Oryctolagus cuniculus: one gene and its partner. The protein of the gene in region 1 purifies or fractionates together with the protein of each later gene. This does not show direct contact. Links are inferred from orthologs where the notes say so. Each region holds a gene or a part of one and is shown on either strand. Other genes may lie near its edges.

Region 1 (5,805 bases):
CTGACATCATTTGCCCCACACCAGTTAGGTCTCTTTAAAATAACTGATGACCGTGGCTGCCAGGCAGCTGTGGAGCAGAGAGTGCTGTCGTCCCCTGTAGGGCATTTATACCCTCCATGAACCGCAGCCTGCCGGAATCTTTCAAAGTGCAAAGTGTGCACTCATTCATTCACCAATCCTGTAAACTTCTCTGGAAGTGTAACAGGGATACACAAGTCCTGGCTGGGTGGTGGTGTGGCAGTTACACTCCTGCTTCTGATGCTGGCATCTCATGTTGGAGTGCCAGTTTGAGTCCTGGCTGCTCCAATTCTGGTCCAGCTGCCTGCCAGTGTACCTGGCTTCAGCCTGACCCATCCCTGACTCTTGTGACCATTTGAGGAGTGAACCAGCACAAAGAAGATCAGTCTTTATCTCTGTCTCTCCCTGTCTGTTGCTCTGTGTTCCAAATCTTTTTTTTTTTTTTTTTTTGACAGGCAGAGTGGACAGTGAGAGAGAGAGAGAGACAGAGAGAAAGGTCTTCCTTTTTCCTTTGGTTCACCCTCCAAAGGCCGCCGCGGCCGCCGTACTGCGCTGATACAAAGGCAGGAGCCAGGTGCTTCTCCTGGTCTCCCATGGGGTGCAGGGCCCAAGCACTTGGGCCATCCTCCCCTGCACTCCCAGACCATAGCAGAGAGCTGGCCTGGAAGAGGGGCAACCGGGACAGAATCCGGCGCCCTGACCGGGACTAGAACCCGGTGTGCCGGCGCCGCAGGGCGGAGGATTAGCCTAGTGAGCCGCGGCGCTAGCCGTAACCATTATTCCTAACACTGTTAACATAATGCTGCCCATTCTAAACTTAAACTCTGCTTTCTCTGGCTTCTTTTCAAGATTAGGTTGCTTTTTGTTGTGCTTTACTCATTGTAGTGGCTAAGTTCACAGCTTATTCTTCTGTTGATGAATACTTGGTTTATGTCCAGCTACAAACAGTGCTGCTGTGAACACACTGGGCCTTGGTTTTGGTGCATATCATTGGGTCTTTCTGCTGAATCCATACCCAGGAGTGGAATTGCTGGACGGGTTTTGGTTGAGTCTTTGAAACTGTTTTTCAAGGTCTTTTTACCAATCTGCACTCCCACCAGCACATGAGAGTGATGACTGCTCCCTCTGTGTTCTGAGTAGGTATTGTCAGTATTTTTTTAAAATCTTCAACATTATACTGATGTTTATTGTATGTTTTTATAAATTTTTGTTTTTATTTGAAAAACAGGGACAAAGAAGCACCACTTGGGATGACTCCCGTATCAGAGTGCCTGGGATCAAATTCTGTCACAGCTCCTAATCCAGCTTCCCACTAACGTGCAATCTGGGAGGCAGCGTGAGATGGCCCAGATACTAGGGAGACCTGGTCAGAGTTGTTGGCTTTGGCCTCGCCTTCCCTGGCCCAGCCTGACTTTTATAGGCATTTGGGGAGTGAACCAGGGGAGAGGAGATACCTCTCTCTGATGTGTAACCGTCTCTCTGCCAAGATTTTGTGTCTTACTATTTTAAAGATTTTTAAAAATACATTCTGGATACAAGTCCTTTTTCAGGTAAATAGTTTTAAATAGTGTCTATGAAAAGGCTTCAAAAGTTCATGGCAGTGTAAAGAAATCTAAACTTAAAATTTTTTTTTAAATTTATTTGAAAAGAGGAGTGACAGATTTTTCATCTGCTGTTTCACTCCCCAAATGGTTACAGCAGTCAGGGCTGGGCCAGGCCCAAACTAGGAGCCAGGTCTCCTACATGTGTAGCAGGAACTCAAGTATGCATTAGCAGGGAGCTAGATCAGAAGCAGTGTAGCCGGGACTTAAGCCAACACTCCAGTATGGAATGTAGGCATCCCAAGACACAGCTTAACCTATCTGTAACACAACACCTGCCTCTTCTGTGTAAATTTTATTGTTCAAATTTTAAGCTCACCAAGTTCAAGAAACTTATAAGTAGTGATAGCAACCACTGAGTCCATCTCTGAAAAACTCAGGGGTCCTGGGAGTTTAACCAGATCAGTGCCATCTTTTTTACATTATTAGCTAAGAAAAAGAGTTCCCTTTAAGGGAACAGAAAGAAGGAGCCAATGCAGGATGGATGCCTAATGATTCCCATTAAAACATGCTCAGATTTGCCCTCGTTTGATGAGTGGGAGCTTGGTCGTGTTGGAGGACTTTGTTGAAACTTCCCCTGGCATTTCCTCTTCAAAGCCTTGGTCATGACAGGGTTAAGCCACTGCCTACAACATCCGCATCCCGCAGTTCAGGTCCTGGCTGCTCCACTTCCTATCCAGGGCCTCCACTTCCGATCCAGGGCCGATCCAGCTCTCTGCTAATGTGCTTCAGAAAGCAGTGGAGGATGACCCAAGTATTTGGGTCCCTGCCACCCACGAAGGAGGCCTGGATGGAGTTCCAAACTCCTGGCTTCCACCTGCCCAGCCTGGCTATTGCAGGCATTTGGAATCAATCAATCAATCAATCTCTCTCTCTCTCTCTCTCTCTCTCTCTCTCTCCCTCTCTCCCCCCGCCCCTCGCTAAATCTGCCTTTCAAATAAATAAATAAATCTTTTAAAAAAAAAGTTGTAATTTCTGATTTTCTCCAAATCTTGTCACATCTAAGGTTTATTTATTTGAAAGTCAAAGTTGGGGAGAGACAGAGCTCTTCCATCCACTGGCTCACTCCTCAAATGACAGTCTGTTCTTAATGCAGGTATATGGTAACATGGGTCCCTGCCCTGCACACAGTGCCCTCGTACCTTCACTGAGAGAGCCCAGCCAGGCTGGGTGGGCTGTAGCAGTGCTTGCCCAGCAAGGCTCTAAGCGCGGCTGAAGGTTGTGTGGAAGCGGCCTCAGAGAGCTCTCACTAAAGGATATTTTGCCTTCTTTTGGGTTTCTGCAGATCTGTCTTCCAAGGCAGCAAGCACACCAAAGAAGAAAGCTGTCGTCCAGGCAAAGTTGACATCCACTGGCCAGGTGACATCCCCAGTGAAAGGAGCCTCGTTAGTCACCAACCCCAATCCACGGAAATTTTCTGGCTTTTCAGGTAAGATAGGTTAGGGATACTAGAGCTGTTACAGCTCTTTTACTTGGGGATCTTGCTGACTGAAAATTCTGTGCTTTCTAGTCCCAATAATTGGCTTTTGTCTGAGTATAGACAGGTGGTGGCTAATTATCAGCATCACACTTGTACAGCATTTCTTTGTACACCTTAATCTCTCTCATAGCAGAAGGATGTTTGCTGTATTAGACTTTTTGCCTTAGGGGTAGGTCAGTGGTTAAAACATTGCTTGGAACCCCCACATCCTATATTGGAGCACCTGAGTTTGAATCCTGGCTCCACTTTGATTTCAACTTCTTGCTCATAAGCACCCTTGGAGGCAGCAGGTGATGGTTCAAGTACTTTAGTCCCGCCTTCTCTCATGGGAGACCTGGATTTGGTTCTAGGCTCCTTGCTCCTGCCTGACCCAGCCCTAGCTGTTATGAGTATTTGGGGAGTGAACCAGCAGATGTAAGATCTCTCTGTCTCTGCCTTTCAAATAAATGAGAATAAATGTAATTTAAAAAGTTTTTTTAAATAAAAGGACTTTTTGCCATGGAAGTCATTTCCTAGGCCAGACTAAGATTTTGTTTTAAAAGGACTTATTTATTTATAAATAAATGGCAGAGGGGCTGGCATTGTGGCATAGTGGATAAAGCCGCCACCTGTAGTGCTGGCACCCCATAGGGGTGCCAATTTGACTCCCCCCTGCTCCACTTCTCAATCCAGCTCCCTGCTAATGTGCCTGGGAAAGCAGTGGAAGATGGCCCAAGTTTTTGGGGCCCTGCCACCCGCATGAGAGACCCAGAAGAAGCTCCTGGCTTCAGTCCAGCTCATCTCCAGCCATTGCAGCCATCTGGAGAGTGAACCAATAGATGGAAGCACTCTTTGTCCCCCCCCCAACCCCGCCTTTCAAATAAATGAATCTTAAAGAGTGTAATATTAAAAATAAGTAAATAAACGGCAGAATGACAGAGAAGTAGAGACAGAGAAAGATCATGCATCCCCTAGTTCACTTCCCAAAGGCCTGTAACAGCCAAGGCTGAGCCAAGCTAAAGCCAGGAGCCAGGAACTCAACCTGAGTCTCCTATGTAGGTGGCAGGGACCCAAGTACTTGAGTCATCCCCTGCTGCCTCCTAAAGTACACATTAGAAGGAAGTCGGAATTGGAAGTGGAGCCAAGACCAAACCCAGGCACTCCAGTGTCAGGGGTGCAGGTATCCTACAGGATGTCTTAACGGCTGAGCCCAATGCCCATCCATTTTGTGTCTTCTTGACGATTGGATAACAGTAATGTCTTACATTTTCTTTCTCTTCACACAAGTGAATTTATACTCATACCCATGAACATACGATTTCTTTTATATAAAATATGGAGTTTCTGTTTCACAGACAGGAATTTAAGAAAATTTTGCTGGAGCATAGGCTATAAATGGGAGTTGAAAAGATCAGGATCAGGGCTCGTGTTGTGGCACAGGGTTTAAGCATCCACTTCTGATGCTGAGATCCCATAAACCAATACCGGTTCAAGTCCCAGCTGCTCTGCTTCCAAACCAGCTTCTTGCTAATGCTCCTGGGAAGGCAGCAGATGGTGGCCCAAGTACTTGAGCCCCTGCCGCCTCTGTAGGAGATCTGAGTAGAGTTCCTGGCTTCAGACTTTGGCCTGGCCTAGCCCTGGCTATTGCCATTTGAGGAGTGAACCAGCAGATGGAAGATCTCTCTGTCTCTCTGTCTTTCAAATAAATAAGTAAATCTTTTTTTTCTTTTTAAAGATTTATTTGTTTATTTGAAAGAGTTAGGTCTTCCATCCACTTCCAGATGGCCACACTGGCCAGGGCTGGCTGGGCTGAAGCCAGGAGCTTCTTCCAGGTCTCCCAAGTGGGTGTAGGGGCCCACGCTCTTGGACCATCTTCCGCTGCTTTTCCCAGGACATTAGCCCAGAGCTGGATCGGAAGTGGAGCAGCCGGGAATTAAACCAGCACCGATAATAGGATGCTGGCATCACAGTGGTGGCTTTACCATCTATGCCACAACGCTGGCCCCAAGTCAATCTTTAAAAAACAAACAAACAAAAAAGATTAGGATCATTTGTTAATCTTATGTAACAGGGAGTATTCGGCTAGGGAATTTCATTTGTTCTTCAGTTAATCTAGGAAGTACTTGTATCAGGCCTATTTTATGAATGTGAAAGCTGAAGTTCAGGTTCATTGTGGAGTTAATCTTTGCACTGAAGTCTATTTGACTTCACTAACTTCTTTTACCCTATACCTTGCTTCTCTTATTGTTTGAAATGTTCTTGTGATTTGACTCCATCGAAGTAAATATAAGGCCAAACTGCTTGGACTCAAGCTGTTTGGGGATTGAAAGAGGCTTTGAAAAAAAAAGAAAGAAAGAAAGAGGCTTTAGGCCTGATGTTGTGGCACAGTGGGTTAAGCCTCCACCTGCAACACTGGCATTCCATATAAGCACCAATTCAAGTTCTGGCTGCTTGGCTTTCAATCCAGCTCCCTGGTGTGCACCAGGGAAAACAGTGGAAGATGATCCAAGTGCTTAGACCCCTGCCACACACGGAAGACCCAGATAGAAGTCCAGGACTGGGCCAGGCCATTGCTGCCATTTGAGGAATAAACCAGTGGATGAAAAATTATCTTTTTTTTTCTTTAAGAAATATTAAGGTATAGATTTTTTAAAAAAATTTATTTATTTACTTGAAAGAGTTACACAGAGAAAGAGAGGCAAAGAGAGAGAGAAGTCTTCCATCCTC
Region 2 (5,805 bases), on another chromosome or scaffold:
GTGAATGTCCCTTTATATGCGTTTCTCTTCAGTTCCTGAGGTAAGCCACTTGAAGGAAAGTAGGACAATAATGGCAGTGTATTTTCCACTGAACGACTGAAATGAGTCAGTTGTTTGTATATCTATAGTAGTCTTGCAATAGAACACTTTTAAAAAAAATGTTATTTATTTGAAAGTCTGAGTTACACACACACACACACACAGAGAGAGAGAGAGAGAGAGAGAGAGAGAATCTTCATTTACTGGTTCATGGCCAAATGAATAGGCATGAATGGCTGGGGCTGGGCCAGGCTGAAGCCAGGAGTCTGCCATGTGGGTGCACAGCTTCTATGCCAGGCACATTAGTAGGGAGCTGGATCTGAAGCAGAGCAGCAGGGTCTCCAACTGGAGCTCATATGGGATGCTGATGTCACAGGCTTTACCCACTTTGCCACAGTACCAGCTTCCTGGAACACTTTTCTTAGATTGTGTAATTCATATGCAGAATTCAAGGTGGACTCTTGATCAGGCTGTAGTTGGAGTGCAAGAGGGAAAAGATGTGATTTATGCTTTGACTCCTCTGGCCTCCGTCTAGACACCCACTCCAAAAATAGGAAGACAGTAGGGGATGGCTGTGGTCCTTAAAGGCAGTAGGTTAAAGTAAAGGGAATGTAGTTCTGTTCTCAAAAACTAACTCATTTCCAGGTTTGATTGGACTTTGCTGTTTAACAGTGTTAACTAATGCCAAATTTAGTTACTGGTATTTGCAATTTACATTATCCATTTTTGTCTAGGAACCTCTGGGTCACTGGAGTCAAGGCTTGAAGATTTCAATGCAGGACCCCAAAATGCAGGTCAGGATAAAATTTTTGAATTTAAGCAAATTAGATGTTTTAAATGATCACAGAGGTCATAATTCTACATTAAATCAAAGGATATTAATCCTTTGAGATTTGTTTTATTGGGCTATTCTGTGAGAACAAGTGCTTTTTCCATTGGCAAAAAGGTAGCAACTGGAATTTGGAGAGAAGCTAAATTCTTCAAATGAATATCCCTTCTGCCTTACCTTTTATTATTATTTATTATATATATATATAGAGAGAGAGAGAGACAGAGAGGGAGAGAGCTCCCATCCATTGGTTCACTCCTTGAATGCCTGCAGTGACCAAAGCTGGGCTGGGCCAAGGCCAGGAGCTTGGAACTTAATCTGAGGTCTCCTATCTGGGTGGCAGAGACCCAATTACTTGAGCCATCATTGCTGTATCCCATAGTCTATATTAGCAGGAGCTGGGAGTCAAACCCAAGGACTGTAGTATGGGATTTGTGGGTTTTCCCTGGTGTCTTATCCACTTGGAAAATCCCTACCCCCCAAGTTTCTTTTTTTATTTTTATTCTACCCCTATTTTTTTTTTTTTTTTAATAATTTATTTGAAAGGCAGAGTGACAGAGAGGGGGAGAGAGAGAAAGAGATCCTTCATCTGCTGGTTCACTCCAAATGGCTATATTGGCCAGGGCTGGTCCAGGCTTAAGCCAGGGGACCAGAACTTTACCCAGGTCTCCCACATGAGTGGCAGTGGCCCAAGCACTTGGGCCATTCTTTGCTGCTTTTACAGGCACATTAGAAGGGAGCTGGATGGGAAGCAGAGCAATTGGGACTTGAACTCACACTTGATTTGGGCTGCTGGTGTTGTAAGTAGTGGCATAACCCACTCTGCCATAATGCTGGTGCTTCCCTTCACAGATCTATCTATCTGCACATATATATGTGTATATATATGTGTGTGTATACACACACATACACCCAGGATATGTGTGTGTGTATATATGTATATATATGTATATGTGTGTGTGTATGTATAAATCAATCAATCAATCCAGATCTCCCATGTGGGTGCAGGGGCCCAAGTACTTGGGCCATCTTCCACTGTTTTGCCCAGGCCATTAGCAGGAGCTGGATTGGAAGTGGAACAACTGAGACTTGAACCAGCGCCCAAATGGGTTGCTGGCATCATAGACAGTGGCTTTACCCACTATGCCACAGTGGCAGCCCCTCGCCCACAGATTCTTGTTCTGGGTTAGAATCCTAAATTTCCTACCTAGTAACTATGTGTGTTGTAAAAGACACTGGATCTCTGTGAGTCTCAGTGCTCTCATCTGTCAAAGTTGGGCTACAAAACATTTTGTACAAGACAGTGGTGGGAATTAGGTGACTTAATGAATATGACAGCACCTGGTACACAGATAATTCTCAGTAGATGTCTGTTTTCTTCTCTTGTGCCTCTCTGCTAGGTCTACAAAGATGAGCAGGTGGTAGTGATTAAGGATAAATATCCGAAGGCCCGTTACCACTGGCTGGTCTTACCATGGGCCTCCATTTCCAGTCTGAAGGCTGTGACCAGGGAACACCTTGAACTCCTCAAGCATATGCACACTGTAGGGGAAAAGGTGATTGCAGATTTTGGGTCCAGCAAACTCCGCTTCCGACTGGGCTACCACGCCATTCCTAGCATGAGGTAAGCTTGTGGGAGGTCCTGGGGCCTTCTTGTTCTGTCCAGGTGTTCAGGTAGATTCAGCCTGGGCTTGCTGAGTGTGCTGACAGCCCTGAGGCCCAGGGGAGTAGGATGGGATGTTTTCAAGACCTCTCAGCTTGACTTACCTGCAAACCTGCTCTGCCTATATTTCAGTTATGTATGATTCTTTGTTCCTCTCAAAATTCAGACCTTTCAGGACTTCAAATATGAGCTAGATGCAGCAGCTTGATTCCTCTCAGGTGAGGAACTGTGGTCAGTGGCTTTTATCAGATTTTTCAAAAGCATCTGCAGTGCTAAAATGACTAAGGACTGTTGCTCTGAAGGAAACACACACTGTAGGCTTCTTGAAAGATGGCTTAGTAGACCTAAGATTTAAAATAAAGTGAGAGGACAGTAGGGAGTCTGTTCCTTTGACTTATACCCAGAAGGATTTGGAAAGGAATTATTTTTCAAAAGAATGCAAGCAAGGCAGATCTTCACAGTTCCTTTGACCTGCAGAGTAAGATAATGAGACTGATTTCAAGTTTGTACCTTAATTTTATTTTTTAAAGATTTATTTATTTATTTATTTAGGGGCTGGCGCTGTATTTATTTGAAAGGCAGAGTTACAGAGAAGCAGAGAGAGAAAGAGCGGTCTTCTGTCTGTGGGTTTACTCCTTAAATGGCTGCAACAGCTGGAGCTGGGCCGATCCAAAGCCAGGAGTCAGGAACCAGGAGCTTCTTCCAGGTCTCCCACATGGGTGCAGGGGCCAAGAACTTGGGCCATCTTCTACTGCTTTCTCAGACCATAGCAGAGAGCTGGATCTGAAGTTGAGCAGCCGGGACTTGAACCAGCGCCCAAATGGAATGCTGGTGCCACAGGCAGAAGCTTAGTCCCCTAGGCCACAACACTGGTCCCTGTACTTTATTTATTTATTTATTTTATAAAGACTTACTTTATTTATTTGAAAGGCAGAGTTACTGAGATAGGTAGAGAGAGGGGTCTTCCATCCGCTGGTTCACTCTGCAAATGGCCACAATGGCCAGAGCTGAGCTGATCCAAATCCAGGAGCCAGGAGTTTCTTCTGGGTCTCTCATGTGGGTGCAGGGGCCCAAGGACTTGGGCCATCCTCTGCTGCTTTCCCAGGCACATTAGTAGGGAGTTGTATCAGAAATGGAGCAGCCGGGGCTCAAACCGGCACCCATATGGGATGCCAGCGCAGCAGGCAGAGGCTTAGGCCACTATGCCACTGCACCAGCTCCTGTAGCTTATTTTTTAAAAGTTGTGGTAAAATATGCATTAAGTGTGTTCTTTACTGGCATTAAGTATATTCACATTATGGTGCAACCATCATTGCCATCCTTCTCCAGGACTTTTTTCATCTTCCCCAAATGAAACACTGTACCCAGTAAATAATAATTCCCCATTAGACCAACATTCCCCTTTCTGTCTGTGAATGGAGTACAATAGTCTTTCCTCATCTGTGAGTCTGTGAGGGATATATTACAAGACCCCAGGGGGTGCCTGAAACTACTGAGCTCCATATATATATATACTTTTCTTTCTTCTTCTTCTTCTTTTTTTTTTTTAATTTTACTTATTTGAGAGAGTTACAGCCAGTGATAGGGACAGACAGAAAAGTCTTCCGTCCGTTGATTCACTCCCTAAATGGCCACAGTGGCTGGAGCTGGGCCATCCGAAGCTGGGCCAATCAGAAGCCAGGAGCCAGCAGCCTCTTCTGAGCCTCCCACACGGGTGCAGGGGCTCAAGCTCACAGGTGGAGGCTTAACCTACTGTGTCACAATGCCAATGTATACACTTTTTAACAATATGTACATATCTATGATAAGGTTTAAAAAATTTTTTTTTTTTTTGACAGGCAGAGGTAGACAGAGAGAGAGGCAGAGAGAAAGGTCTTCCTTTTTCTGTTGGTTCACCCCTCAAATGGCTGCTACGGCCAGTGCGCTGCGCTGATCCGAAGCTGGGAGCCAGATGCTTCCTACTGGTCTCCCATGCGGGTGCAGGGCCCAAGCACTTGAGCCATCCTCCACTGCCTTCCCGGGCCACAGCAGAGAGCTGGACTGGAAGAGGAGCAACTGGGACAGAATCTGGTGCCCCAACCGGGATTAGAACCTGGGGTTCCGGCGCCGCAGGTGGAGGATTAGCCTAGTGAGCCGTGGCGCCAGCAAGAGAGTCATCTTAACAATGCACTGCAATGAAAGTTATGTACATTTGGTTTTCTTGAGGAGTTAAGACAAATATTAGTATTTTGGACTGTGGTTGACTTTGGGTAACAAAAACAAACTGCAGGTGGGGGGCACCATACTCTGAGTATGTTATATAAATGAAATCATGCAGTATTTGATGTTTTGTGACTGACTTATTTTACTTAACATAATGATGTCTTCAGAGTTTATCCATACTGTAGTATGTGACTGAATTTCCTTTGGCAATTTTTTTGAGGTCAATACATCTTATATTATTTAAGGGAATACAGGATGAAAGACAACAATGATAGGCACTTGAAGACAGTTTCCAAAATCTTTTTGAGGGCCATCACTGTGATATAGAAGGTTAAGCCTCTACCTGCAGTGCTGGAATCCCATATAGGCACTGGTTCAAGTCCAGGCTGCTCCATTAATGATCTAGCTCCCTGTTAATGTGCCTGGGAAAGCAGTAGAGGATGACTCCAAACCTTGGGCCCGTGCACCCTTGTGAGAAACCCCGATGAAGCTCCTGGCTCCTGGCGTCAGCTTGGCCTAGCCCTCGCTGTTGGACCATTTGTTGATTGAAACAGCAGGTAGAAGATTACTTGCTTTCTCTTTCTCTTTCTCTTTCCTTCTCTCTCTGTATCTCTGCCTTTCAAATAAATAAATAAATCATTAAAAAACATCTTTTTGATGATTTTTTTTTTTTTGACAGGCAGAGTGGACAGTGAGAGAGAGAGACAGAGAGAAAGGTCTTCCTTTGCCGTTGGTTCACCCTCCAATGGCCGCCGCGGCCGGCGCGCTGCGGCCGGCGCACCGCGCTGATCCGATGGCAGGAGCCAGGAGCCAGGAGCCAGGTGCTTTTCCTGGTCTCCCATGGGGTGCAGGGCCCAAGCACCTGGGCCATCCTCCACTGCACTCCCTGGCCACAGCAGAGGGCTGGCCTGGAAGAGGGGCAACCGGGACAGAATCCAGCGCCCCGACCGGGACTAGAACCCGGTGTGCCGGCGCCGCTAGGTGGAGGATTAGCCTAGTGAGCCGCGGCGCCGGCCTTGATAATTTTTAATCCTAAAGTTATACTAGGTTAAATTAAATGACATTCTTTAAA

What was found.
Region 2: the proteins of LIG3 (region 1) and APTX purify together in Homo sapiens (affinity purification with mass spectrometry; 3 studies listed by BioGRID and IntAct, with this or other methods). This does not show direct contact. The link is inferred for Oryctolagus cuniculus from reciprocal best matches to the Homo sapiens genes LIG3 and APTX.

Annotation. Positions count from the first base shown.
Region 1 is NC_091448.1:39,293,488-39,299,292, reverse strand, and holds part of LIG3 (DNA ligase 3), read left to right. Parts: intron 1-2,904; coding exon 2,905-3,048; intron 3,049-5,805. UniProt on the Homo sapiens protein: Isoform 3 functions as a heterodimer with DNA-repair protein XRCC1 in the nucleus and can correct defective DNA strand-break repair and sister chromatid exchange following treatment with ionizing radiation and alkylating agents.
Region 2 is NC_091432.1:196,395,313-196,401,117, reverse strand, and holds part of APTX (aprataxin), read left to right. Parts: intron 1-773; coding exon 774-833; intron 834-2,268; coding exon 2,269-2,492; intron 2,493-5,805. UniProt on the Homo sapiens protein: DNA-binding protein involved in single-strand DNA break repair, double-strand DNA break repair and base excision repair.